Linked DNA regions of Tamandua tetradactyla. The protein of the gene in region 2 purifies or fractionates together with the protein of the main gene of each other region. This does not show direct contact. Links are inferred from orthologs where the notes say so. Each region holds a gene or a part of one and is shown on either strand. Other genes may lie near its edges.

Evidence for each region.
Region 1: the proteins of CDKN1B (region 2) and CCNB2 purify together in Homo sapiens (affinity purification with mass spectrometry; 3 studies listed by BioGRID and IntAct, with this or other methods). This does not show direct contact. The link is inferred for Tamandua tetradactyla from reciprocal best matches to the Homo sapiens genes CDKN1B and CCNB2.
Region 3: the proteins of CDKN1B (region 2) and CCND3 purify together in Homo sapiens (affinity purification with western blotting; 9 studies listed by BioGRID and IntAct, counting the BioPlex papers as one, with this or other methods). This does not show direct contact. The link is inferred for Tamandua tetradactyla from reciprocal best matches to the Homo sapiens genes CDKN1B and CCND3.
Region 4: the proteins of CDKN1B (region 2) and XPO1 purify together in Homo sapiens (affinity purification with western blotting; 4 studies listed by BioGRID). This does not show direct contact. The link is inferred for Tamandua tetradactyla from reciprocal best matches to the Homo sapiens genes CDKN1B and XPO1.

Annotation. Positions count from the first base shown.
Region 1 is NC_135340.1:74,930,714-74,938,510, forward strand, and holds the start of CCNB2 (G2/mitotic-specific cyclin-B2), read left to right. Parts: upstream 1-4,792; 5' UTR 4,793-4,980; coding exon 4,981-5,004; intron 5,005-6,903; coding exon 6,904-7,032; intron 7,033-7,123; coding exon 7,124-7,237; intron 7,238-7,797. UniProt on the Homo sapiens protein: Essential for the control of the cell cycle at the G2/M (mitosis) transition.
Region 2 is NC_135333.1:75,264,090-75,271,834, forward strand, and holds the start of CDKN1B (cyclin-dependent kinase inhibitor 1B), read left to right. Parts: upstream 1-4,728; 5' UTR 4,729-5,236; coding exon 5,237-5,711; intron 5,712-6,246; coding exon 6,247-6,368; 3' UTR 6,369-6,376; intron 6,377-7,745. UniProt on the Homo sapiens protein: Important regulator of cell cycle progression. Inhibits the kinase activity of CDK2 bound to cyclin A, but has little inhibitory activity on CDK2 bound to SPDYA. Involved in G1 arrest. Potent inhibitor of cyclin E- and cyclin A-CDK2 complexes.
Region 3 is NC_135331.1:99,536,418-99,543,508, reverse strand, and holds the start of CCND3 (G1/S-specific cyclin-D3), read left to right. Parts: upstream 1-4,083; 5' UTR 4,084-4,203; coding exon 4,204-4,401; intron 4,402-5,225; coding exon 5,226-5,441; intron 5,442-7,091. UniProt on the Homo sapiens protein: Regulatory component of the cyclin D3-CDK4 (DC) complex that phosphorylates and inhibits members of the retinoblastoma (RB) protein family including RB1 and regulates the cell-cycle during G(1)/S transition.
Region 4 is NC_135343.1:34,217,785-34,224,747, reverse strand, and holds the start of XPO1 (exportin-1), read left to right. Parts: upstream 1-3,946; 5' UTR 3,947-4,768; intron 4,769-6,963. UniProt on the Homo sapiens protein: Mediates the nuclear export of cellular proteins (cargos) bearing a leucine-rich nuclear export signal (NES) and of RNAs.

The DNA.
Region 1 (7,797 bases), on a different chromosome or scaffold from region 2:
GTGATTCTTGAAGATGACTGTATAAAGATATAACTTTTACAATGTGGGTGTGGAATCATGAAAACCTTGTGTCTGATGCTCCTTTTATCCAGGGTATTGACAGATAATTAAAAAAATATGGGTAGGGTGGGCCACAGTGGCTCAGCATGCAGACTTCTTGCCTGCCATGCCAGAGACCCAGGTTCAATTTTTTACTTGCCCATGCAAAAAAAAAAAGCCTGTATATAGATAGATAGATAGATAGATAGATAGATAGATAGATAGATAGATAAAGAATAAATAAATAATAAGGGGAACTAAAGGTAAAATACATTGGGTATATGGAAATGCTAGTGGTTAGTGAGAGGGAGGGGTATAGGGTACATATATGAGGTTTTTTCTTTTTATTTCTTTTTCTGCAGTGATACAAATGTTCTAAAAAATGATCATGATGATGAATACACAACTATGTAATGATATTGTGAGCCATTGCTTGTATACCATATAGGGAATGTACGTGAGTGAAGATTTATCAATAAAAATTTATTTTAAAGGAGGAGGAGTTATAACAGAGAAGACAGGATTTAACAAATGAATATTACTGCTGAATCATTATACTGCTATTTCGTTTAGTCTCCAGTATCTTGGAGCAGCTAGAAGGAAAAAACTGAAATTATGGAACTGTAACCTATACTAAACTTTGAAATCTGTTGTATAACTACTTGTTACAATGGACTTTGAATTATATTGCATTTTTGTATATATGTTATATTACACGATAAAAAAAGTTTTTAAAAAAACTTACTGCAGGAAGAAAAGCCCAACTGAACAGAAAAACATTACAATGATTATTTGTGATACAAGAAGATTCTTCTTTCTACATAGGAACTTTAAAAATCATTTCTTTTATAGTTATCTTCCCAGTGCATTTGAAACACAAATTGATTTACCAATAGTCAATTTTTTTTTGCAACATTCCAGGAACATTATAATGAGGAGCTATACTTTCCTTTGTGCTTCCAGTGTCTTTAAAATGTGTCTTTGTAAATTCAGTATATTATCATTAATTTAATTTTGCACCAATAAAGCTAAAGTGTTCATGAGCGTTGAAAAAAAAAAACAAAAATACAACAAAACAAAGGAAAAACAAAAAATGAACAGAGAGAAACAAGTGCTAAAGAAAATGTGGAGAAAGAGATGCATCTATTCACTGTTGGTAGGGAAGCTGAGAGGTGCAGCCCCTTGGAGGGCAGTGTGGGGGTTCCACAGGAGGCTAGGGGTGGGATTGCCATATGATCCTGCAACCCCATTGCTAGGTATATACCTGGAGGAACTGAGTATGGGGACACGAATGGATATTTGCACACTGGTGATTATGGTGACAATGTTCTCGATCCACAATGGATGGAAGTGGTCTAAGGGTACAACGACTGAGGGTAGGAATGAGGAACTGTGGCATATACATACAATGGGCTACTGAACACTGAAGAAGGAATGAAGCCGTGAGGCATACAACTAGGTGAAAGAACCTTAAGGACTGTATATTGAATGAAATGACAGAAGCAAAAAATAAAAAATATAATACATCAGTCATATGGACTAGTTATGATATACAAACTTGGTGTACTGAAGTTGAGAAGTTATCAGGTTGGGACCTATTGTAAAGGGTCCTAGATTGTAAGCTTTTACACCAGTCACATATATTCACGAGTTGCAACTGTTATTTCTAAATTCTGAGATAGTGAGCTATTTGTGTATAACATGGTCTTTCACAGAAACTTCAGATATTTATGTGACACTTGAGACACTGAGCTAGAGCTCGGAAGCTATGAAACTCACCATTAGAAGCTATGAAACTCACCATTACCCAACACAGAAATTGTTTAAAAAGTTGAAACAGTGATCAGACTTTGACTAGAGATATGAATGAATCTGATCCGGATAGGAGTAAGGTAAATCAGAATTCAGGGTAAAGGGTGATATGGTACTTTTGTGTGAGACCAAAGGGAAAGATGTTTATTTGGTGCAAAGTTTGTATTTTGGGTTGCGCATTACCTAATTTAACTTTTATGGTCAGTTTAGTTGAATACCAGAAGTACATGGAATCTTGAATAGGGTGTGAGATCTTGTTTGTCTGTGCAGGTAAGTGTGAGGCTCCAATATATCCCAGAGTATTTTGGGCAGAGAATAAAAAAGTATTTGCAAAGTCCCCTTGGGGACTGGGGAGAAAGAAGGAAATATTCAACTTCCCCATTTAGGGAATTCCTGATATTTTTGCAAGCAGTGGGCACAACCAAATCAATAGGCTTAGCCCTCGATCATGGGGTTTGCCCTATGAAATTTACTCCTGCAAAGGGTAGGCTAAGCTGATTATAATTATGCCTGAGAGTCATCCCCAGAAACCTTTTTTGTTGTTCAGTTGTGGCCTCTCTCTCTAAGCCAACTCAGCAGGAGAACTCAGTGCGTTCCCCCGCTATGTGGGTCATCACTCCCAGGGCTGCAAATCTCCTTGGCAATGTGGAACGTGACTCCAGGGATGAGCCGGACCCAGCATCAAGGGATTGAGAAAACCTTCTTGACCAAAAGGATTAAGAGAGAAATGAGACAAAATAAACTGTCAATAGTTGAGAGATTTCAAGCAGAATCGAGAGGTTATCCTGGAGGTTGTTCTTATGCATTATATAGAAATCCCCTTTTCAGTTTATGGTATATTGGAGTGGTTATAGGGAAGCACTTGAAACTGTTGAGCTGTGTTCCAGTAGCCTTGATTTTTGAAGACAAATATAATGACATACTTTTAACCATGTAATTGTGTGGCTGTGAAAATCTTGTGTCTGACGCTCCTTTTATCTAGGGTATGGACAGAAGAGTAAAAAAAAAATAAGGATAATAAATAAATAAATAATAGGGGGTGGATAAATGGTAAAAAATGGGGTAGATGGAAATACTGGTCGTCAATGACAGGGAAAGGTAAGGGGTATGGGATGTCTGAGTTGTTTTTTTTTTTTTTCTCTTTTTATTTCTTTTTCTGGAGTGATGCAAAGGTTCTAAAATGATCATGGTGATGAGTATACAACTACGTGATAATATTGTGAGCCATTGATTGTATACCATGTATGGACTGTATATATATGTGTGAAGATTTCACGATAAAAATATTTTTTAAAAAGTAGTATTATCAGAGACATGTTAACTGTTCCCAGCTTACATTTCTTCATCTGTTCAACTGAGATAATAGTCCTACTTTGTAAGAATTTTTATGAAGATTCAATGAGAAAGTTTATGTAAATTAGTACATAGGACATGTGATCGATAACTGTCATTTAAGACAGGAGGAAATAGAAAGTAAAAATACCAGAAGACTACAATGCATTAAGAGGTTGAAAAAAAGAGTTGGTGTAAGTGTCGGGGTAATTGCACTAAGGAATACAAAACAACAAATCTTTCCCCTATCTTTTAATAAAGATATCTCCTGATAATATGGATTAAATCACTAGATTTTGACAATATCTAGTAATCTTTCTAGAGTCAGTTAATAAAAGCACTTCACTCTTCCTAACATTTCTGTCTTCAAAGTCCTGGGAATTGCCAAGGGTTGTTAGTTTTATGTTGTATCTTTTGCTAACACTACAATGTAACAAAGGCAAACATACAATGATTTTACTCACAATCCCGGTGCCCTAAAACAGACCTATTATAGTACGTGGAATCACTAAATATATTCCTGTGCCACAAAGTAGCCAGAAGTATTTCCGTTTTACAGAAGAGGAAACAGGTTAAAAAATGTCAGATGCCTTAAAGCCAAAAGCGGGTGAGGCAAGGAAGGTATTTAACCGTGGTCTCTTAAATCGTCATTTAAACCTTACCCTACCACCTTGATCATCTGTACCCGAGTAACTGAGAGGTGAACCATAATTTTATTTTTAATTTTTTTGTTTTTGTGGGCCATAATTTTTAAACAGCGTCATAAAATAGGAGTGATGGGAAAACTTGTGGATTGAGCCTGATATCACGAGTCATTCCATTCACTGCTGTGCTGTGGGCATTCTACCATTCCCTTCCTCTTTCCTCTTTCTCGTTCTGTCTTGACTTTCATCACCCACTTCCTTCTTCTCTCTTTCAAAGCAAACATCCCAGTTCTTTTTGCAGTCGCGGATCCACTCTTCTCTCCAAGGTTGGGGGTCACACCTTGTTTCTTATTTTTAAAACCGTCTTTCGTCATAGGACTGACCGGATTTCCAACAAATACTTACTAAGCACCGCCCATTTGTCCGCTGTTGTGCTAGGTGCCAGGAGCACAAAGGAGAATCGTCACACAAATCGCTGTTACCCTTTGTTGTTGTTGTTGTGTTTTGCCTCTCCTTGGAACTCAGTTTTAGAGAATTCCCACTCCTTCAGCCCGCGTTGGAGGCTCACCATCTAACACCGCGCAGCCCTCAGCCGGCGCAACCTCAACTCCAACTCGACCTTTTCGGCCGGGGAATAAAGGTCGGAAATGGCATTTCCAGGGTACTCTCTAGAACCAACTTCTGCCCACCCAGTACAAACGAGAAACATCCATAGGCGAGGACATGTCAAAATTCAGGGAAGGCTTCCTACGTCTGCTTTCCCAATAAGATATTTTTCTTTTTCTTAGACGCCTGGGTTAAAAAAAAAAAAAAGAAAAAAGAAAGAAAGAAAAAAAAAAAAGACCGAGAACGGGAGGGGGGGGAGGGAACTCGTTGTTGTGACAACCAAAAAGGTTACGGGAAATCCAACCAATCAGTGTGCGGGAATGCCTCCTGGCTTAGCCAATGAGAAGAGCGCGCCGTACGTAGGGCCGCCCAATGGGGGCGCGAACGGCGCGGTATTTGAATCCTGGAACAAGGCGACCTCGCTGAAAATCGCCAGCGGTGCGGGTGGGAAGGGCTGACCTAACGGCGCCGCGGAGGCTTGTGCCCTCCCTCTCCAGACCGCGTCCCTCCTTGGGCCCGGCTGTCACTCTTGCCTTCCCTGTCCCTAATGGCGCTGCTCCGACGCCCGACGGTGAGTGGGCCCGGCTGCCCCTTCACACGGGCCGGCCGCTTCCGCCCTGCAGTCCCCTCGCCCTCCTTTCGCTTCTCTCTCTTTTCGGCCTTGAGTCTGGTCATCCCAACCAGTGCTACTTTTCGCCTCTCCGGGGCTCCTCGCTTCCTCTGCATTCCGGGCCCAGTGGCCGGTCCTCCCTGGTCGGCCTCTCGGCGCCTCGGTTGGCCTCTGCGGGTTCCCTCTCCCTGGTCGGGCCCCTCCCTGCCCTGGGCTGGGAGAGGTGTAGGAAAGCGCTTCGGGGATGTACCTGTCAATGAGCCCCCAGACCCCAGAGCTCTGGACCTTCCTTGTACACGGAGGGCGAGTCCCAAGTGCCCATTGTTGTTAAAGCGCTATCCAAATGGAGGTTCGTGGGATTTCCTCCTCCTTCTTTCATAACTCTGCTTGTTAAGGGATCTGTGGTGGGTGCGGGAGGAAAAACCGGAAGAAATTCTGAATGTTGGATCTAGCAACTGCCATGGCCTGCCCCACCCTCTCACCCCCATTTCTCTTTGTCTGAGCTTCCCATTTATTACTGCGCAGTAAGTCTTGTAAGCTAAGCTCACTAATGTTTGTCCTTAATTTATTTATTTTTTTACTTCAATGTAATACAAAGTTTGCCTATAATTTGGATCAGTATGGCATACCGGGAGAGAAGGGTTCAAATTCCTTTATTTCACCTTTGCAGAAATCACAGTGTTAGGTTGTTTCAGATGTTTGTCCTGTACCTGGACCTACTTTTCCTTTGCTGAAAACATGAGGGCCTGACCCACCTGAGTTCCATTGTCCTGACTGAAATGCTAGTTAAAAGCTGCCAATTTTTCCTTCCAGATGAATTTTAACTTAGGCACATTACCAGGCTTCAACCCATCAGCATTACCCAACTTTGTTGTTGTTGTTTTTAAAGTTGACAGTTGCTCTGGAAAAATTGAACATGGGAATTTTGCGAATCGTAATGTGTTGAATACTTTCAACATTCAGTTCATCCCATCATGAATCTAAGTTGAATGGACAAGTAATTTTTTTTTTATCCCCCCCTCTCCCCACCATGTTCTTTACTAGTCAAATTTTTTTCTGTTCAAGAAGACTTGGGTTTTCTTCTGGGCCTCTGTCTCTCCTATCTTACCAAGTGGTATCCTGGTAGCTCCACTCAAACCCCTGGTTGGGAACTTTCTTAGGATTGTGAGCCTGAAACTCTCAGAACATACTACTCTGTCTCCTGAAATGTTCAATTAAGATTAAATAATGATTTTTACTTCATACAATTCAACCTTCCTTAAATTTGAGACAAAACTGTGAGACAAAACTTTGTTACCCCCAAAACCTATTTTCTTTCTAAGTATTCTTAATATGAGAGAGCATGCTATAGCAACTTCATTTTAAAAAGCACTGTATCTCTAACATCATGTCAAAGAACAGACACTTCTTATTTTTACAGTGGCATGAGAATCAAAGCTAGGTTAGGTTTTAAACCTCTGCTTTCTAAAAATCAGCCAGCCCTATTATAGCTTTTAAATATTGTGTCCTAATTATATTTGTTATCAGTCACTGTAAAGAAATGTTTAAAAATAGATGCCTTTGATTTATAATAATCTCTAAATGATGGGTGCTACATGAGAGATAATCGCTTATCAGTGAAGCTTTCAAGCTTCTTACAGTCTGCTTTATCTTTATTTTAAATACATTGGATGAGCAATTTGCTTAGCTTAGAGTGATGTTATCAATCATAAATAGCATTTCTGTATTCCCTAAAAATGTATCTTTTCCCTCTCACACATCTCAGCATATTTACCTTTCCCAAAGCAATTCTGAATTTTAGTATCTGACATTAGCAAAGTACTCTAAATTCTCAACTCTTTATTGATTTTTTTTTCATAGGTATCCAGTGATTTGGAGAATATTGACAAAGGAGTTAACCCCAAAGCTAAGAGCCATGTGACCATTAGGCGGGCAGTTTTAGAAGAAATCGGAAATAGAGTTACAACCAGAACAGCACAGATAGCCAAGGTAACAACCATGAAGTCTGTGGCTTGTGTGCAAGGGCACTTAGAGGCAGTACTGGTTGGTTTGTCCTCTTTACATTTCTGTTTCTTTCCAGAAAGCTCAGAACACCAAAGTACCAGTGCGAACCATCAAAACGGCAAATGTCAACAAACAACTAAAACCTACAGCTTCTGTGAAACCAGTACAGATGGAAATGTTATCTCCAAAGGTAGGGAGTTCGGAATTTGTAAACATATTTCCTGAAGTAGCTGGTTTTCAGCTACACCGCAGGAGGGCCTTGTACCTGTCACTATAACTTTTGAAAAGCATATCTACAGCTCTGCTTTGAAACAGAAATGAATACATGTATATATATATGTGTTTGTATGTTTATGTGTGAGTGTGTGTGTATATATATATATATATATATATATAAAACCCTTATCAGTTATATGGTTTCCAAATATTTCTCCCATTTTATAGGTTGTTTTTTTCAATTTCTTGATAATGTCCTTTGATGCACAAAAGGTTTAATTTTGATGAAGTCTGGTTTATCTTTTTTAACTTTTGTTGCTCACACATTTGGGGTCATATCTGAAAATCCACTGCCTAATCCCAGGTCATGACGATTTGCCCCTCTGCTATTTTCTAAGAGTTTTTTAGTTTTTAACTTTTAGATTTAGGCCTTTGATCCATTTTGAGTTAATTTTTGTATATGGTATAAGGGTAGGGGTCTAACTTCATTCTTTTGCATGTGGATATCCAGTTGTCCCAATACCATTTGTTGAA
Region 2 (7,745 bases):
CTTCCAGCCCCTGTAGTTTTTGTGCACATGGCCTTCTTCCCATCCAGGGCCTACACTCTCTGAAGTCAGGGACTGTAACTTAGTCACCTCTTCTGTCTCCACACTGCTGAAAGTAACGCCTGGGGAAAAGATCTTACACACGGTAAGATCACATCATTCCATTGCTCAAAACCTCCCAATGCCCAGTGGCTTCCCATATCACTAAGAGTCAATGATAAAAACCCTACAGAGGGTAGGCCACAGTGGCTCAGCAGGTAAGAGTGCTTGCCTGCCATGCCCGAGGACCCGGGTTCGATTCCCTGTGGCTGCCCATGTTAAAAACAAACAAACAAACAAACAAAAACCCTACAGAGGTCTAGCAGTCCAACCTTGCTCAACCCTCTCCACTACTTGGGCCTCCTTACTGTTCTTCAAATACACCAGGCAAGATCCTACCTTATTGCTGTTCTCTTTATGGGGACACTCTTTCCCCAGATATCTGCATGACTTGCTTTCTCATATCCTTCCGGGCTTCCCTCAAAGACCATTTTCTCAGTGAGGCCTTCCCGGACCATTCTATTCACATCGCCACCCTGACAGCACTCTCTTTTCCTCTCCCCGGTTTGATGTTTCCTCATAGTATGTATCACCTTCTTACACAGTGTATATTTTACTCATTTTGTGCCCTCCCCTCCCCACTCTAGCATGTTAGCGTCATTCAAGTTTTTATCTGTACGAATGAGATACTTCTGTATCCCCAGAGCCCAGGATACTGTCTGGCACATAGTAGGTATTTAATAAATATTTGTTAAATCGAATTTAAAAAGCTGTCAGAAAAGGTGACTGAAATTCTGATCTCTTTAAAAACAAAACAGTTTGGGGGAATGGTGAGGGTGAGTTAATGCTACCTTGTTAAAAAAGCCCTCGAGGAAGGGTAAAAAAATAAATGTGTATTTGCACCGGGAGAGGCAACTGGGCAAGACACTGTGCACCTTGGGAGAACGGCTTGCGGCTGTATAGCATTGGGGAGAGAGGACTGCATCTGCGAACACCCGCGCTGCCCGCCCACACCATGTGGATACTTGTCTACTAGGCAGGTGCTTTCTTTTAAGTTGTTTGGTCTTTGCCTCTAGCAACTTGCGAAAGATACAGAACTCTGGGGTGGCCTACGTGACACTTCTCAGCTCTAAGTATGAAACCAACAGGAGTGAAAACAACAAACTAGGTTCTGAGTCTTGGGGAAGCAGAGCCCATTTTAGAGCAGCGCCCGCAGAGCAGAACTTTCTGTCCTCTACTCAGGCTCCGCCTTTGTACTGTTTATCTGAACATTTCTCCCTGGTTTACTAGCCTAGCCTGCAGCTGAATACTTTCCACAGGAGGATGGTGCTCTGATCTCCACGTTCCCTCTTCCCTCGGGGACTCCATAGTATTTTTTCACGCTTCGTCGCTACTACAGCAGACGCCTGCTTTCTCATTATTTGCTGTACAGATCTCCGGTGACTTGACTGTAAACAAAACACTTTAGATCATAGCAAGGTCATAAGCACAGCCTTTCTGCTGGCAGCCAGACTTCTTAAGGTGGCGTGACTGATTCATTTAGTTTTCAAGTTTAGCAAAGCAACAAAATGGTGTTCCTACCTATTAATCGAAGAAAAATTGTGTAGGGGATAAAAGTGTTACTCTTCCACTGTTATACAAGTGGAATTTTGTGTAATTCCACTTACGTTTTTACATGAATAACATCAAACTTCTGTGTAAGGTAATACTCAAGAATTTCTCCATTGACTTACATCTGGTAGTTTGTGTATTTGTGCATATTTACACACATGCACACATATAATATAGAATTCCTGTGTAGTCTAGAAAATATTTAAAAATTTGGACAAGCAGAAACTCTGAAACCCAGAGTTACCAGTGTCTACAAGAGTTCCAACATGTTGCATTCCCCTACCCCATAATATTGACACCCCTTTTCAACATGGAGAAGTTAGAATGGTCATTACCTAAATATCCCTAAAGAGTGGGAGAAGGATCAAGGGAGAAGGAGGAGTTCTAATAAAGAAGACAGGATTTAACCAATGAATATGACTACTGACTCATTATATTGGTATTTCTTTTTAGTCTCCACTGTCTTAGAGCAGCTAGGAGACTGCTCTAAGGTGAAATTTCAATTGAAAGGTGAAAATATTCCCCTAAGGATCAATGTCCATCTTAGGAAGTTTGTTATAAAGCTACTATGTCCTCATGTCTGATTTTATTATTTGGGCATTTATTTTTCTGCTCTCCCTTGAAACTTGAAACTTAACCATCAGTTTGGTCTTGAGCAAGGCGGTGGAAGTTAAATCAGGATGGGCAGGTCTGTCATATCTCAGACATAACTCAATGAGTCATTAACTGTCTCCCCCTACCCCAACTCCCATATCATACATAGAAATTTGTTCTCTAACTTCTTGTTAAAATATGCTTTGCAATTTACCACTTTTTTGTATATATGGTATATTTCACAATAAAAAATGTTTTAAAAAATTGGGCAAGAATGATCTAATTTCAAGGGTAAAGTATAAACTACCTGGTAATGAGGGCTGTTCTAACTTTCCTGTTCACCCATCCCCAATCCAATATTTTAAATGGGCCATTAAATGCAGAAAAACAAAGAGGATGAGAATGCCTACTTTGATCCCAGCTGAATTATTTTCTGTTGGTCAGGTAGGAAGCCCTGACTTTGAAACCACTTCTGGGCACTGTCTTTGTCACTCTTTCTGCATAGCACCTGTGTCCTTTTGGAATGTGCACTTTAGTTGAAGTAGTTGATAGTGATGCCAAAGGCCAGTGTCCTCTGCATTAAAATATCCGTGACCATAAGCCAAATTATGGAAACATCTGCAGGCAGTCTAGGGCCTGGGAAGGAGCCATTTTGAATCACTTGTACTAGAAGAGGACTTGCAGGCTACAGCACAAGGGAACTCAGACGGAAACGTGAACCAATGGGGATCATTAGAAAGGAAAGGAGCAGAAAATGAACCAGACTGAGAGTTAGGAGACCTTGTCTAGTCCTAACTCTGGTACCAACTGGATGTGTGTCCCTGGACAGGAAACCTCTCCAAGTCTCAATTTCCTCACTGGTCAAATAAGAGAGTTGAACCACGGGGTCCTGACAATCTTCCCAGCTCCAACCATTTTGGAGTGTATACAATGAGGAAGACATGTAAAATGGACAAACAAGATGTGGCTGTGAAAGCAAGCTAAAGAGCAAACTCATCTAGCATGAAGGCATGAGAAAATATTGTTGCTGTGTAATATTTGCAGTGAATAAATTTCCTGTAAAATGTCTTAACTTTGACCCAAACTAAAATAGTGTGTATTGGGAGCTGGGGTGGGAGGCAGTTAAAAACTCATTGGGTTATGTCTGAGATATGACAGACCTGCCCATCCTGATTCAACCTCCACTGCCTTGCTCAAGACCAAACTGATGGTTAAGTTTCAAGTTTCAAGGGAGAGCAGAAAAATAAATGCCCAAATAATAACATCAGACCTGAGGTAGCTTTATAACAAACTTCCTAAGATGGACATTGATCCTTAGGGGAATATGTTCACCTTTCAACAGCTTGCAACGCCTTAAAAGCGTTCACTCTCATCTGATTGATGTTCTGGGTGGGTTGGAGCAGTGAATCTGGTGGGAGAGAAAGGTGGAGGAAGGAAGGAGCTGTTGTGTTTGGCGCCGGGACACAGGTAGAGGAAACTGCTACATTCCGGGAAAGAATTATAAAGTATAAAGAGAAGGAGACGAGTCCCCACATGCAGCCAGTGTCAGTACCCTTAACTGTACTTGGGAAACAAGAACTTGAGCCAGGAGTATAACCTCACTTTTCAAACCTAAATGTATCTGAGATGGCTACAAAGTTTATTAAGGGACTTGGGAAACCTAGGGGACCAGTGCAGCTTTTGATCTCGGGACCCTTTCTTTTTTATTGCAGGAAAGCTTGAGTTCAGAATATATTAAAAATGCTGTCCCTACTCCCGGCTAATTTATAGAAAGCGGACAGCCCTGACTTCTACCCTAAGCCCCCTGACTCCCCTTGGATAACAGAGACTCCTGGATTAAGGATGAACTAATCACCGCCCACCTTCACTCCACAACTAAGACACTCAGGCGGGAAGGTGGTGGTGGTGGTATTCCCAACCCTTAGTAAATGTTTGCCGGCCTCCTCAGCAGTCCGCGAAGTGGGGGGCGGGGGTGGGAGCACTAGTGAGAGATCAGCAGACCAACGCTCCCGCACTCTGCCTCTGCCCCTCAACCGCCCGCACCCGGGGTCGGCGAGTGCTGGGAAAATAAGATCGCCACCGAAGCTCAACACAATCTGCAAGCACCCTTAGAGACCTTCGGGTCCAGCCCCTTCGCTTCACAGCGAGGAGCTAGAAGTCAGGTTTTACCAGCCGCAGCGGGCCAGACTGCGCAGCGCCGGGACCAGAACCCCAGGCCCCGCCTGCCCTGCCGCCGAGGCCCCTCCCCAGCTTCCCGGCCGTTTGGCTAGTTTGTTTGTCTTATTTTTAATTTCTCCGGGGCCAGCCAGAGCAGGTTTGTTGGCAGCAGTACACCTCCAGCAATCACGCGACCAGCCAATCTCCTTGCTGCACTCTCCGAGTCGGCGCGCCCAGACCGCGCCTGGGCCACCTTAAGGCCGCGCTCGCCAGCCTCGGCGGGGCGGCTCCCGGCGTAGCAACCAATGGATCTCTTCCTCTGTTTAAATAGACTTGCGGTGTCAATCATTTTCTTCTTCGTCAGCCTCCCTTCCACCGCCATATTGGGCCACTAAAAAAAGGGGGCTCGTCTTTTCGGGGTGTTTTTCTCCCCCTCCCCTCTCCCCACTTTCTCGCCACGCTGCGATTCTGACGCCGGCAAGGTTTGGAGAGCGGCTTGATTCGCGGGACCGGCGGGTTAGCTGCTGCCGGGACTTGGACTGGCTTTTCCACCTCCTCCCCCTGCCTCCTCCCCTCCGCTCCCCGCCCTCCAGCTCGCCCGCACACTTGATCCGCGGAGACTGTCGGCACTGCCTCTCCGGGGCTTCCCCTTCCCCCTCCCCCAGACCCAGTGCGCTCCTGAAGCCGGGGCAGTTACTTGTTAGTGTTTGTTGGTCTTGGCTCGGAGGGCATCGCGGGGCTTATAAAAGGGGGTTGGGTTGGATCGGGGCGTTTTGTTTTGTTCGGTTTTGTTTTTTTGAGAGCGCGAGAGAGGCGGTAGTAAAGACCCGGGAGGAAAATGTCAAACGTGCGAGTGTCTAACGGGAGCCCGAGCCTGGAGCGGATGGACGGCAGACAGGCGGAGTACCCCAAGCCCTCCGCCTGCAGGAACCTCTTCGGCCCCGTGAATCACGAAGAGTTAACCCGGGACTTGGAGAAGCACTGCAGAGACATGGAAGAGGCAAGCCAGCGCAAGTGGAATTTTGATTTTCAGAATCACAAGCCCCTGGAGGGGAAATACGAGTGGCAAGAGGTGGAAAAGAGCAACTTGCCCGAGTTTTACTACAGACCCCCGCGGCCACCCAAAGGCGCCTGCAAGGTGCCCGCACAGGAGAGCCAGGATGTCAGCGGGAACCGCCAGGCTGTGCCTTTAATTGGGTCCCCAGCAAACTCAGAGGACACACATTTGGTAGACCAAAAAACTGATACAGCAGACAGCCAGACGGGGTTAGCGGAGCAGTGCAATGGGATAAGGAAACGACCTGCAACAGACGGTAATGACCCTTTCAAAATAATAAAATGTCTGTCTGTCTGTCTGGGGCCCCGCTTTGCCTGGTTGGGGCGGGGGTGGGGGGGGCGGTGGTGGCCCACGTCTTTACCTAAAAGTTTTCTTTCTTTTCGGTGTACTTTGTTGTAGCTTTTGGTTGTGAACTTTATTAATCTTAGCTTGTACGTGCTACCTGACTGTTTGTTTATGATGTTTAAATCAGAAGCTGGAGATTGTAGTATCTGAGCATTTCTCTCACCGCAGTTCCCGCCCCCGCCCTGCTAGGCAGCTGTAGTAATGTGGGTGTTTATCAACGGTCTCCCTCTCCGCTAGGCAGAGAGAGATTTGGGGCGTAGAATTCACTTTCTGTTATGTGAAAACAACTTTATTTTGTGCACTAAAAGGCCACTGGTGATTGTGGGTAGAGGTGGTGGGCTTTTCATTCCACGAGTTGACTCACGGGCCAACTTTTGTCAGCCATTGCTTTTTTCTAACAAAGCTTGTTTGTGTTTTGTTTTCCTAAAATTCCTCCTTGCCCCTAGATTCTGCTCCTCAAAACAAGAAAGCCAACAGAACAGAAGAAAATGTTTCAGACAGTTCCCCGAACGCTGGTTCAGTGGAGCAGACGCCCAAGAAGCCGGGCCTCAGAAGACGTCAAACGTAAATCATTTGGTGGGTTGATCACTAAGGCATATAACTGACACCCAAACTGGGCTGCAGGAACCCGTGGACCTTCAGACTCCAAGATAGCTGATCTGACTGGTTGCTGGCAGATTAGGAGCTTATGGGGTTTTGTGATGTTTATATTTTGTGAGATCAGAAAAGTAGGATGAAGAAGGCTTGGAATCACTCTGGGGATACTGTAATTCTTCAACGTTTCCCTTGATACACTGAACTAGAACAAGTGTCCCAGGCAAGCAGTGGTAGTGAGGGCCCATTGCTAGGAATGTCATTTCCCTGTCAGCCCCACCAAAACATGCTGAGAACAATAGGTTCTTTCCCCATCTGAACAAAACTGGGGTAAGCCTCAGTCCCACTTCATGAGAATTCATTTCAGAGGTTCTGGAGGATTCAGTAGATTCTAAGCCATACACAGAAATGATTAAATTTAAAATTTGAGGGAAGAATTAGGTACAAATAACTCCATTTGGTTAATCAAGTGGTTAGAAATGTGAATAGGGTGGTATGTTGCTATCTTTTATCTTTTGTCACTTTCACAGACTGTCACTTTTCCTGTTTTCTTGCAAGTTTTTGGGAGAGAGAAGGAAACTGCATATTTAAAAAAAATCCAAAATGGAACGCTCAAATATACTAAACTATACTACAGTGGTAGCACTGAAGTTGGGAAGCAGAAGTTAAATTTACTCTACCAGAGAAGCAATCCATGACCACGTCAGCATGCGTATGCTAATCGTGCTGTAATAGAACGATTTGGATATTTGTAGGGGAAATGGACAGTAGATACCAGGGCTTCCTGAGGATAGATTTAACCAGTACAAGGGAAGGGGAGAATTCTGTCTACTAAAATCTGATCTACGCAAATAGCTAATTTGTATAATTCAGCACCAAATTTTCTTAGATTATAGCGATTTATAATAATGAAATTACTTATATTCTAATAGCTTACAGACTTTTTAAGGACAAGGACCCCGATATCTTTTTCCCCCCAAAAAATATACTATACTTAAATATCTGAATAAATGTTGATATTAATGTTTCAAATCATTTATAAAAATTTTAAAATAAAAACACAGGGATTTAAGTGGGAATCAAGTTTGTTCTATTTTTAAGCAATTTGGAATGTAATATATATGATTTCTCCTTATACGTGTGATATTTTTTAGAGCTTATACAAAACAGCACTATAGAACCTTTATATTACAGTTCTATATGAAATGAGGAAGTTTGTAAAAAAATTCCCTTAATACCTGAAGCTCTACTGGTCTGATAGCTTTGCTCTTCAAAACCACAGTAAATCAGATCTACTGGCACACAGAGAAGCATTTGTCCATAAATATTGCCAATTCAGGAATACTAGAAA
Region 3 (7,091 bases), on a different chromosome or scaffold from region 2:
GAATCCTCAGCTGCCATGTGGGAGACTCGGGTTCAATTCCTGGCCCATGTACTTCCAAAAAAAACAAAAACAAATTTAACAAATGGTCCTGCAATAATGGGATACTCACATGGAAAAAGAATAAAATGTGACCCCAGCCACACAACATAAAAAAAAAGAAGAATGTCACACCCTATACAAAAGTTAATTCAAAATGGATCAAAGATCTAAACATTAGGTCTAAGACCATAAAACAGTTAGAGGAAAATGTAGGGAGATATCTTACGAAACTTAAAATTGGAGGCAGTTTTATGGACCTTAAACCTAAAGCAAGAGCACTGAGGAAGGAAATAAATAAATGGGAGCTCCTCAAAATTAAACACTTTTGTGCATCAAAGAACTTCATCAAGAAAGTAGAAAGACAGCCTACACAATGGGAGATAATATTTGGAAATGGCATATCAGATAAAGGTCTAGTATCCAGAATTTATAAAGAGATTGTTCAACTCAACAACAAAAAGACAGCCAACCCAATTACAAAATGGGAAAAAGACTTGAACAGACACCTACCAGAAGAGGAAATACAAATGGCCAAAAGGCACATGAAGAGATGCTCAGTGTCCCTGGCCATTAGAGAAATGCAAATCAAAACCACAATGAGATATCATCTCACACCCACCAGAATGGCCATTATCAACAAAACAGAAAATGACAAGTGCTGGAGAGGATGCGGAGAAAGAGGCACACTTATCAACTGTTGGTGGGAATGTCAAATGGTGCAACCACTGTGGAAGGCAGTTTGGCGGTTCCTCAAAAAGCTGAATATAGAATTGCCGTACGACCAAGCAATACCATTGCTGGGTATCTACTCAAAGGACTTAAGGGCAAAGACACAAACGGACATTTGCACACCAATGTTTATAGCAGCGTTATTTACAATTGCAAAGAGATGGAAACAGCCAAAATGTCCATCAACAGAAGAATGGCTAAACAAACTGTGGTATATACATACGATGGAATATTATGCAGCTTTAAGACAGGATAAACTTATGAAGCATGTAATAACATGGATGGACCTAGAGAACATTATGCTGAGTGAGTCCAGCCAAAAACTAAAGGACAAATACTGTATGGTCCCACTGACGTGAACGGACATTCGAGAATAAACTTGGAATATGTCATTGGTAACAGAGTCCAGCAGGAGGTAGAAACAGGGTAAGATAATGGGTAATTGGAGCTGAAGAGATACAGACTGTGCAACAGGACTAGATACAAAAACTCAAAAATGGACAACACAATAATACCTAATTGTAAAGTAATCATGTTAAAACACTGAATGAAGCTGCATCTGAGCTATAGGTTTAGTTAGTTTGTTTGTTTGTTCGTTTTTTTGTTTGTTTTTTTGTTTTTTTGTTTTTTGTTTTTTACTATTATTATTACTTTTATTTCTTTTCTCTATATTAACATTCTATATCTTTGTCTGGTGTGTCGCTAGTTCTTCTAAACCGATGCAAATGTACTAAGAAACGATGATCATGCATCTATGTGATGATGTTAAGAATTACTGATTGCATATGTAGAATGGTATGATTTCTAAATGTTGGGTTAATTTCTTTTTTTTTTCCGTTAATTAATAAAAATAAATAAATAAAATAAAATATGGTGCCTGGCAAAAAAAAAAAAAATGAGCACAACTCACTTGTTTTCTAGCAAAAAAAAAAAAAGAAGAAGAATGATAAACAAAGAACTAAAAAAAAAATTGCAAGGCATATGATAAAGAAAAAAATATGAAAAGAGTTAATAGTCTTGAAATGTAATCGGCACATATAAATCAATAAGAAAACAAGAAGTATCCCCATAAAAGAATGAGCAAAGGACATGAATAATTAATTTACATAAAAAGTATAAAGTCTAATAATGTCAAAATATATTTATTACTACTAATAACAAAGCTGCTTTTCATCTCTTCAGTTGGCAAAGACATTTTATAGATACCCTGGAATACCTTGTTTTATTGCACTTCACTTTATTGTACTTCACAGATACTCCGTTTTTTACAAATTGAAATTTGTGGCAATCCCATGTCAAGTGAGTCTATTGGTGACATTTTTCCAATGCCATGTGCTCGCTTTGCGTCTCTGTCACATTTTAGTTAAGGTATGCATATTGTTTTTTTAGACATAATACTTTTGCACACTTAATACACTATAGCTTAGTTTAAACATAACTTTTATATGCACTGGGAAACCAAAAAATTTATGACTCACTTTATTGCAATATTTGTCTCATTGCGGTGGTCTAGAACAGAACCCGCAATATCTCTTGAGGTATGCCTGCACCCAGTGTTGGTGAGAGTGGATTGGTTCAGCCTTTCAGGAGGGAAATTTGGTAATAAGAATTGTATCAAAAGCCTTAGCATGTTTCATAACCTTAGATTGAGAAATTCCACTTCTAGAAATTAATCCACTTCTAGAAATAATCATGAGTGTGCACAAAGATATTATTACAGAAATGTTTTAGTTTGGGTTTTTTTTCTAATAGGGAAGAAGGAGAAAGCTTAAATTTCCAACAATGCACATACCTGTTTGGTAAAACACATCATGATGCATTCACCCAGTGGAATTCTATGTGGCCATTAAAAATGATGCTTTTTACTTCTTACTGGCATGGAAAAGTGTTAATGGTAAATTTTAAATGAAAATATTAATTTACAAAGCAGTTTGTGATGATGCCATTTTTGTAAATCTGTGTGTATTTATTCCTAGAACAAAGATTATAAAAATAAACATTTTAAAGGATTATTTCTGGGCAGTGAAATTACAAGTGATTATTATTTATCTTCTAAATTTTCTACAATGCAAATGAATATTTCCATGATATGAAAAATACAACAAACTTTATTATATAGAAAAGAACAATTCACTGAGAAAATGCTTAGCATAGATAGAATATGCCTCTTCTATACAGTGTCATATCTCTAATAACTCACTTCCTCAGTGTTTCCTAAGTGTGAGGGTCCCCAGGAAAGGCAGGGATCCCCAAGAACTTCTCTCATTTGGAGCATTACTGGGGGCCTGTGGTTTGCCTCTTGGTCCTGTGGAATCCAGCTTGGGAGAACACAACAAAGTATCCCAGGTTTGGGAGGTGGAAAAGAAATGGCAACTGTCAGGTTTTATAAAGTCTGAACCAAAAACTCCCTCGGTGAGGATCTGTTTCCTCTGCCCACGTTTTCCCCAAAAGGGAAATTAACTAAGGTTGAGTATGAGGGCTTGTCCAAGGCCACACAGCCAACTTAATGACAAGTGAGACCTTGAATCGAAGTCTTTCCACCCTGTTGTGTTTTTGTAATGAGCTGATTCAGACCAACTTTCTCTCACTTCACTCGGTATAGGAATTACCTGGGGATTTTGTTAAAATGCAAGTTCTGATTCAGTAGGGCAGAGGTGGGGGCTGAGAGTCTGCATTTTATCTAGTTCCCAGGTGATTTGCTACTGCTGCTACTGTTACTGCTGCTCTGGGGACCAAAGCGTGAGCAGCAGTGGTGCAGAGCAGATTCTGGAGTCAGAGGGCCAGCTTTCCAACCTTAGCTCTGTCACAGACTGACTGTATGACTTGATAACTTCTCTGTGTCTCAGTTTTCTAATCTATAAGTGTACTACCTTACAGTTTTTTTATGAAGATTTAATACGTTATTACATAAGTGCTTAAAACAGCGTTCAGTAAGAACTAGCTATTAGATTTCCTAGAGCATGCAGTCGGTGAGGTAGGGTTTGATGAATGAATACATGAATGAATGAGTAACCTTTGGAGAAAAGTTCTTTCATTGGCGATTAGAGTCGGAGAAGCAAAAAAGGAAGGCCCGGGTTGGTGGGAAAAGTCCCACCTCCCAGAAAGTTCTTTCCAGGAGGGCCCGGAAGTCAATGCGGCCGCCCAAGCGGGGGAGGGGCAAGAGCCCTGCCGGCCTTTCCTTCTGGGGCGCCGGCGGCCCCGCCTCTTGGAACGTTGCGACGACTGAGCATTCCTCGGTTGCTACATCGTCGCGAGGGGCGGGGCGCCTGTCAGGGAAGAGGCGCGCGCGCGCGCAAGCGGCGCGCGGGCTGGGGCTCCGCAGCTCACTGCCAGCGCCAGCGCCAGCGCCAGACCCGCGCCCCGCGCTCTTCTGCCGGCCGCTTGCGCTCTGGCTTACCAGCCCGCACTCCCGCCTCGCCTGCGTGCTGCCGGAGAATGGAGCTGCTGTGCTGCGAAGGCACCCGTCACGCGCCCCGGGCCGGGCCGGACCCGCGGCTTCTGGGGGACCAGCGTGTCCTGCAGAGCTTGCTCCGCCTGGAGGAGCGCTACGTGCCCCGCGCCTCCTACTTCCAGTGCGTTCAGAGGGAGATCAAGCCGCACATGCGGAAGATGCTGGCATACTGGATGCTGGAGGTATCTTCGGGACAGGCCCACCCCTCCCCCGCACCCCGGACTCCGGACATCCCGGGGCCGCCCTGTTGGGGCATCTCGGTCCCAACAACAATCAGCAAGATGCTTCGGCGACCCAGACCTCTGGGGCCTAGCGTTTCACTTGGGCACCTAGCTGACTACCTACGTGGTGTTCCCTTCCCTTCCTCAACTATGATCGATTCCTTCCGACACTGCCTTCCAGTCCCTTGGCACCCTAACCCTTCTGTCTTCGGGCCGGGAAAGCGGGACAAGGGCCATCCTCTCCCCTCCGGCCTTTTTCTGCTTCTCTCCCTCCCCCGCTTCTCAGGAGAGCGAGTCTGGAAAACTCAGGACACGTCCGCCCCCGCCCCAGAGCCGGTTCCTGTGTCTTGTCGCGGGGTTCTGGCGGGGAAGGCGGTGGGGGTGGTGCGCGCACTGTTCCGGCCGTCAGGGAAATGAAAAGTGGGGGAGTCGCCTCCCTTCCCTTTGGGTGTGTGCAGTGGGTGATGGTAATTGGGGGAAGGTCCTAGCTCCCCGGCTACCATGGGTGCCTCTTCCGTTCCCTCTCGCTGTGGGGGAGGGGATCCTCATTTTGGAATTATTGGAAAGAGACCGACTGAACGAAGGGCTCTCCTCTTGCCTCTCTCCTCGGGGGCTAGAAGGAGGAGGCCACGCAGAGGAAGCGGGGCGGGGGTCACCTTGTGGAGTGTGTATGTACTTTATCCCCCCGTCCATTTTTGCTCCCCATTCCACCAGCGCCCCTCCCCCATAGTGCTGCTGCCTTCCCCTCGTCCCTGCCCTAGAAGTGACTGTGCGCCCTCCCCCAGGTATGTGAGGAGCAGCGTTGTGAGGAGGAAGTCTTCCCCCTGGCCATGAACTACCTGGATCGCTACTTGTCCTGCGTCCCTACCTGTAAGGCGCAGTTGCAGCTCCTGGGTGCGGTCTGCATGCTGCTGGCCTCCAAACTGCGTGAGACCACGCCCCTGACCATCGAAAAACTGTGCATCTACACTGACCACTCCGTCTCTCCCCGCCAACTGCGGGTGGGTAACCTCCGCTCCCACCCCCTCTCCGGGTACCTTCCCAGGAAAAGGAAAGCAAAGACCTCTTTAGGAAGGGAGCAAAGTCTTTGAGGCAAACCGCGGCTAATTTTTGAAAGGAATCCCAGTGGCAAAGAGAGATGAGGCAGTGGATAATGGCTTGAGCTGTCAGCGTGAACAAACCCTCCTCCTCCTGACCTCCAGGGGGCGCCACTCTTTTCTGGTCTTTCCCCTAGATAGCAACGAATAAATGCGTGTCTTCAGACCCTAGTACTCTGCCTCTGGGTTTACACAGCCCCCGTGGGTTATTTATTGGCAGCAGAAAGGTATGCTTGCACACCACCGCTGGAGTGGGGGAGTGGAATGTGCTTCGGTGGCAGGGGGTGGGGGCGCTGCCTTGATACAGTCTTCATCCCTATGTGGGCTTTGTGATAGAAAAGCCTTCCAGAGCAGATTAAAGCCAGACCCTGATTGCTCTGAGGAGGGGCTGAGATGCTTCATGCCACCCTTTTTCCTTCCCCTTATATTCCAGAAAAGACTTCCTTCCTAACCCTCCATTCCGTGCCTTCATTCCGAGGAGCTTGAGCAGCTGCTTTGGGCCTGGTGGAAACATCTCCCCCTTTCCCCTTAGCCAGAGGCCTGGGCGGAGGGACAGACAGGGAGCTGAGTTGCAGCTGCTTCCGATGTGATAATGATGCCCCCTCCCCAGCCTGCTCACTCTGACCAAGCTCTTTCATAACCCTGTGGGGAGCTGCTGTCACCCCTGTGGTTTGGGAAGTGGCTCCCTGGGCCTCTTGCTGGGAACTTAGGTTGCACTCCTCCTAAGGCAAGGCAGGGGAGTCACCCCGTTTTTTCCTACTGAGCCTGGGGACAAGGAGAAGGAGCTGCTTGAACCTGGAAGAGGTTATTTAGGGTGTGTTGTAGATCATTTCCTGGGGGGCTTCGAGGAGAGGGTGGGTGAGCTGGCACCATCCTCCTCCTTGCTCCTGGCCTCCCAAGTCTCCTGACCCTGAGAGAAGTCTCTGGGCCCCATCTCCCAGGGAGGAGGGCAGCATGCAGGCTGCTGTGATTGGCTGGCTGGGAAGCCAGGGTACTGGGGCCTCTGACTGCTGTGAGTTTGTGAGTCGAGGAACAGGATTCTTCCTGCCAAGTAGCTCTCAGAGATGGGAGTAGGAGGCCAGAGTCAGGAATCTGGGAGGCCCCACAGCTCTTTGTGATGAATCTGGTAGTTTTTGGCAAGTCTGGAGGTGGAGCTGGTTTCCAGGGCCAGCAAGCAAGATGTTTGGAGGGCTTGGACTGGAAGGTAGAAGACTTCCTTTCGTGAGAAGTCTGGGATGGTGCGTATGTTTCTGTGAGCGGAGTTTTTCAGAACCGTCAAAAAGCACTCTTGCCTCATTCCCTCTGAGCTGGTGGTGGAGTATGCAGACAACTTCCTAGAAGGTTAGTGTTGGAAGGGACCTCAGAGAACTCCAGTCAGTCCAAATCCTTGTGCAGCAGAAAAGGTAGGAGGTCCAGAGGAGGGAATTGTTCTGCCTCAGCATTGCTTTGAAGTGGGTGAGTTTAGAATCTGGGTTTTTCTAGCTACACCAGTTGCCTGGAAGGCTAGGATATAAGGGAAGCTGCCAGCCACTGCAGCTATGTGCTCCCAGGGCT
Region 4 (6,963 bases), on a different chromosome or scaffold from region 2:
TCCTAATAAGATATTACAGAGAAGCATTTTGTCCAGTGCATCCCTTCAGATCATATGAAGTTAGACTCCTTGGAAGAAAAAGCCCAGTGAAATACAATTTGAGCTCAATACCCGAATATGTGATTAGTTAGACTCATGGTATTTTTAGTTCAAGTGCCTGCTTTTTATCTCTGGTTGGAAGAAATCTATGTTGGAAGGCCACTACTATATCCCTCAGAAAAAAGTGGTATTAATTTCCTCAAAAACAGTGAAAAGACCAATGCCATTATTAAAGTAATAGATTTATTGCTTATCTTTTCCTTATTTTTCTTACTACATTACATGTGCATTTAATATTATTATTTATATATTCCTTGAGGAATGCAGAGTCATTGATGTTGCTTTCACAGCCCAAAGGTCAAATGTATATGCAAAGATTGCCCATTTGAATCATCAGACTCTGTTTGTGACTATAAAGAACTTCCTTATAGATATGTATTATGATCTGATCATCTGTTTAGGAAACAGCAAATACCGATGGGTTTTATGTGAAATAAACAGGCACTGTTCACACATTTTGTTTGATATGTAAATTGATAACATCTTCCAATATTTATAACAATAACAAATATATGTACCTTCTGAAACAATAATTCCACTTTTAGGACTTTAACCTAGAACTATATTGACATTTGTGCACAAGGATAAATGTACCAAGATATTCGCTGCAGCATTATTTGTAAGAGAGAAAACCAGAAATAGCCTATAGGCCTCGGCGGAATGGTTGAATCAGTTACAGTACCAAGACAAGGTGGAAGACTATGAGGCTGTTAACAAGGATGAGGTGGATTTACACATTCTGGCTTGTTGAGTAAAAAGTAAGTCACTGAATATATGTAGTATGACATCATATATGTTGAACAAAACACAAAGCAAATATGTTTATAAATGCTTAGAAAATATCTCAAAGTATGCACGGTATTCTGTTAATGATTATCTCTGAGAGTCAGAAGGTTGGGGGAAGTATACGAAGGAGGACTTTAAATTTTTACTGTAGTTATGGACTTCTCTTTCTCTTATTTCTAACAATGTTATTGTTTTGTGAGACAATGTTGAGTAATAGAAAGACCAGAAATTTAGTTCTAATAGTGATCCAACCACTTTGGGGTGGTATATGTGTGTCGGAGTGGCAGGGGAGAGAGTATGTTAGAGAGAGACAGAGAAAGAGAAAAATCTACAAAATAATAACTCTCTCACAAAACTGCTGTGAGAATTCAGTGAAATACTGTACAAAAAGTCCTAACACCCTGCTAGATACCAGATACACATTCAATATGGTTTATATACATTTCCCTATCCATATCTCACTCTAAAGTTCAAAATCTGTTTGCTTCCAACAAATGAAAAAAGTACTAGACAATTAATACGTCAGACCTCGTGTTTCGATTTTGATTCTGAAAATATGATCAAACTCAATTATCTGCCCCACTCTCTTTTTTTCTTGTTTTTTTAACTCACTTTTAAGTTTTTAATTTATTATTAATTCAAAATATTTTATATGATGTTTTAGTTTGTTAAGCTGCTGGAATGCAATATACCAGAAATGGAATGACTTTTTAAAAAGGGAATTTAAAAAGTTACAGGTTTACAGTCTAAGTCCATGAAAATGCCCAAATTAAGGCACCAACAAGAAGTTATCTTCATTCACGAAAGGCTGATGCCAACCAGAACACTCCTGTTAGCTGAGAAGGCACATGGCTGGCATCTGCTGGTCCTTAGCACCTAGGATCCTTGCTTTCAGCCTGTTTGCTGTGATTTCCTCTTTAAGTGTTTATGGGCCATCACTTAGCTCCTAGAGAATATAACTCTGGGTTCTGGCTTGCTTAGCATCTCCTGGGAAGGTGCATGCAAGTCAGTCCTTTTTGTAGTTGTTAATTAGACAACAAATTTATTTTGAATGTACCATTTTCTGCCACAAACTCTTCAGCTAACCCCAGGCAAAAGATGAACCAAATATTTACATCTGATTCACTATGGTCAGACAGATATGACCTCTTGGGGTGTGATTTAAAGATAGGATGAAAAGGTTAAAGTTGGGGATAGTAAACAGAGACTATCTGAATTTTACAATCCACAAAGTGCTTTATGATTTACACTGTTCCCTTGCTAACATTATTTCATTTGATTCTCAACACTAATTCTGTGAGAGAGGCATGGAGAATGTCAGCCTCATTAAATGGGGAAGAAGGAAACTGAGGCCCAAAGAGGTGAAGTGACTTGCCCAAGGTCACATTCCAAGTAAAGCCAGGTCTTACTCCCAGCTGTTTTTATTCCTACTATGCTTCCAATCTCAAAAATCAGGACCTTGTGGCCTGGTTCTAGAGCTTAAAATGGTGGGAGGGTGAACATTTTTAAAACAGGACAGTCCCAGTTTTTCTGGTAATAGAACATAAGTATTCCAAATGATCAGTATATATCACATACATTATATCTTATACCATATATTACATATCCTCTGGATTAGATTTGTTACGATTTGATATGATTCCCTTAGACAATGAATAAACACTCTATGTCTGAAACTCATCCAATATCATTTTGGTAAATCTAAGTGTTGGGTTGTTTTTGGGGTTTTCTGTAGTGGAGGGGCAGGAGTCATTCTTAAGTGGTGCTATTAGCCATTGCTCATTGTTTGCATTTACTGAAGAAAACTCCGTTGGTTTAATAAACTATTTATCAACCTCTTGGTGGCAGAGCGGGCTCAGTGAAAGTTTTGGTGGGCTGTTCTCAAGCAAAGAACAATTAGCAAAGCTGATTTGGAGGGCACTTCAGGACAAACAAGAGGTAACCACGTGAAAGGCCACGAGCGTGTAATTTTCATAGAAAATACCATTTGATGATGATGAAGTTGTGAAGGGCATCTAAGCTGAAAAGAAAAACGGAGAGTGGGGGCAGATCAAGGACACCAGGTGGGAGGCAGTTGGTATGCAAGTTTAACAAGCAAAAATAAACGCTGTTAAACCAATTGCCGGGGTACAATTAGTTTTTAGAATGTACTTCTAACCAGGCAGGGTTGGTTGTTGAAGCAGCCAAATTCCAGCCTGAAGAGACATAGCGCTAACATTTAAAGAGACTCGTGCCCAAGAACTACTCGGGTATCTTTTTCAGGATAATGAGATTACCAAGCGCAGGGGGTACACGCCCCACCTTATCCAGACCTCTTTCACGGTTATTCTCACCCTCAACTCTCTGGCCCAAACCCACTCTTAAAGTGGGTTAAAGTGGTCCGGGGCCTACAATCGGCCTCCGATTTTTACAAAAAATTTTAACCTTTTTTTCCCACCCCTCCCGATTTAAAAAATAAATTTAAAAAAGGCGTGCCCTCCGTTTTGGGAGCGTAGCCCGCATGCGAGAGGCGGGTCAGATCCCCGCATGACCAGGCCCCCCGCAGGTTGGCGGGAGCCGGAGGGGGCGGGTCGGCGCAGGTCCGGGAGAAGTCAACCCAACGGAGCCGCGCGCCGCGAGGAGACTCGCGCAGCCACCAGCTCCCGAGCTGCGCCCCACCCTCTCCGTCACCAAACGCGCCCAGCCAATGAACGGGCCGGAAAGGCTGAGCCTGCGGGCAAAGAACTGGGAGGGGGAGCCGCGGGAGGGGGAAGGGAAGTTGGGGGGCGGGTTGCATTTGACTGACAGCTCTCTTGAACCAATCCTCCACGCGGCGTCGCTCTCTCCCTTCTCTGCTGGGCTCAGCTCTATGCCCCACCACCTCCTCCTCCACCCCCCCTTCTCTCTCGCTTTCGACCCGCCCCACTTCCCCTCCCCCACTCTGCGGGCAAATCGCTGCTGGAAAGAGGCGGGGGCCGAAGCGGCGGGCTCGTATGGAGCCTTGAGGTGGGACTGACGGGCGATCAGGCCAATGAGAGCTAGAATGATGGCGCGGCTGTGGCTGGAACCGACCAATAGGCGGGTGGGCTGGGGGCGGAGGCCCAGGTTCCAAACGCTCCGCGGCGCCATGGGCTGAAAACTCAACCGAGATGGAATCTCCCAGTCTGAACCGGTTTCAACCGGTTCCGAGTTTGAGGCACTAGGAGGAGGGGGAGAAGCGGCTGCAGCGGCCGCGGCAGGAGCAGCGGGAGCTACAGCATCAGCAAGAGCAACAGTAGCTACAGCCCCGGCGGCGGTGCCTGTTCCCGTCTTTGCTGCTGCAGTCCGTGCAACCACCCAGAGGGGGAGGGGGGAACCACCAGCCGCTGAGAAGCAGGAGAAGGGGGGAAAGTTTAGGCGAGCCTGGGTGGGGGGGCCCAGCGCCGGAGCCGCGTGAGAGAGGGAGCCGTATTTTGGTGGTGGGGGGAGTCGGACTGCAACTGGCAGCAGAGCGTCCCCCCGACCGTGTGGACTCTACACCCCCTACTCCTGCCGCTCCCGCTGCTGCCTGTGGCTGGAGGGTCCCCCTGGGGCTGAATCTTTGGGACTTGACCCCGTTCCCCTCCCCCTTCCCTCACTCCCCGGCCGGGCGGGAGCATTTGTTCCACAGATTAATCCCCTTTCTTTTTTGGGGGGGGGGGGCGGGTGTGTGTGTGTGTGTTGGGGGGAGGTGCCCCTGAAATAGTAAATATTGTTCAGCTTTTTTTTTTTTTTTTGCCATTTTCCTCTCCTTTTTAAAATTTTTCCTTTTTTAAGGTGGGAAAACTGAGAAACCCACCTTGATTTCCTCCCCTCTCCCCCTTCCCACCTTCCCTCGCCCTAATTCCCCGAGAAGGAAGGAAGAAGCAGTTGGTTCAATCTCTCGGTAAGTCGACTGTGTCTTCGGGGCCGAGGGGCGGGAGGCGGTGGCCCGGCGGGAGGAGGCCGGCGTGGGGCGGGCGGCGGCCGCGGGAGGCGAGCTTGGGAGGCGGCGGCGGCGGCGGCGGCGGGCCGGGGGCGCGCCGGGCCCAGAGAGGATCCTGCGATTGAATGGAGCCTCTTCTGCCGCTGGGGGATGCAGGCGGGGAGGCGGCCGCGGGAGGGGAGCGCCTGCTCGGTCACTCGCGTGTGCGGGTGGCCGTGGAAGAAGGCAAGGAGCGTGGTAGTGGAGCGAGGCCCTGCGCGGGAGTGGAAGAGAAGTTGGGGTGATTTCAGGAACATCTCTAAATTATCAGGAGTGGAAGTTTCCAGAAATATTTAGTGCAGCAGCATTGAAACGTCCGCCTGCATCACGTGGCCCGCTCCAGTGGAGAGCTTGGGATCTGGCGAGGGAGGGGCTGCCGAGTCCCTGTTCCTCCTGCAAGGAAACTCAAAAGCTTTCTGGCTTTTATCAGAGTGGGATGAGAAGTAGGAAAGATTAATTTTTTTCACGGCTCTGTGAGCGGGGTTCCGTGTTGTACTTTCTTGTTCCGACATGAGAGTGTAAAGAGATGGAATCGTTTACTGCTGGCATTGTAGAGTGTATGATGCCCTGATCCTCCTTCATCCCGATGTCTCCCAGTTTGGGGAGGTGGGAGGAAGTGGTGTGGTAGAGGAAGCATGAAATATTTGCCGAGCCGGGACCTCTGAACAGGCCGAGGCCATGCTGCATAGAGAACGGGGCGGTGAACTTAAGGCTGCTGGTCTAAAAGCCTCCTCCGAGTATGGGCGGGGTGAGTGCGTGCTCCAGTATGCTATAGTTAGAAGTGCTGCAAATCGGTTCGAGTGGGAAGCAAGGGAGGGCGGGCCTTAATGAGGTGTGTTTCTACTGAATGAAGCAGGCGATTGCCCATACACCTAAGTAGCAGTCTGTTGCCTTGTAGCGACTTGTTTTTTGACCTGGTGTGAAGTAATCATAATCATTAAGCAGTGGTTATGATTTTCTAATTTTTGGATGGTACCTGGCAGTGTGTACGCTGCCTGCCTAGTTAGTTTGAAGTGGCAGTGAACATGTTTTGGTAGTCACTTGTAGAGTCACAACTTTGCTGGATAATCCCTCAAATGTGCTATCCAGTGAGTGGATTTTAGGATTGAGGGCCCAAGGAGAAAAGAAAGCATTAGTGGTTTCTTCCCACCCACTATAGCTGTTTACTAACTGCTTGGTTGTATATCTTGAGCGGGACACTGCTGTTGTGGAAAGAATGTTTTGGAAGCTGTTTGATTTGGGGTACTAAATGTGCTTGGCGTTGACCACAAAGCCGCCATGTCTGTATTAGTACAGTTCAAGAATAGGTAGGTCATTTTGAACATAACCGCTAGTTCTAATAATGGCAAAACTATTGTATTTAAAGGCTCCTATTCCAAACGTGATTTTTCACATGACTGTAGCTAGGAGAATTCTGCAAGGACAATGTACTTGAAAGTGAAACTTTTCACGAGTTACTTGATTGATCCTTTTTCTATTTTAGCTTTTTAAAAACTGACAGCTAAATAGGGAGAAAGTTCTTTGCATTTTTAACCAAAATAATTGAAAACTTATTTTTGATAGGCTTTTCAGTCTCACGTTTTTAAGATTGTTCTGTGGCACTTGAAGGGAATTGCTCATTTATTTGTGGAATGTGTTTCTTTTTTTATATTAGCTATTTAGACCTAAAGCATTTATTATGGTGTATATAACAGACATGGTTTTTAAAACATGCTTGCTTAATACCTGCTATGAACAATTTTGAAATCTCGTAAGTTTTAGTTGCCACTAATGAACCATAAGACTTCAAAGGAATAAAAAATATCCTTGAATTATTACTTGATTTTTTTAACATTATATCTAATTTAAATAACTAATTTTTTAGATTTCTAGTTTGTTGTAATTAAAATTATCTTTAAAATTTTTTTTAGTTAAACTACTGTGAAATAGTCAAGAAATAACACATTTTTCATATCAAGCTAGTTTGTCCAAGGTGGACTCAAGCAGTCAAATCCTGGTAATGAAAAGTTTTCAAGAGGGGTAGAAGTAGAGATGACCATCTGACCTTGTTTCTCAATAACACTAAACCAGGGTTTCTAAACTTGAGGTTTCATGGGTGACTTTCAAGGTGTCCTAAA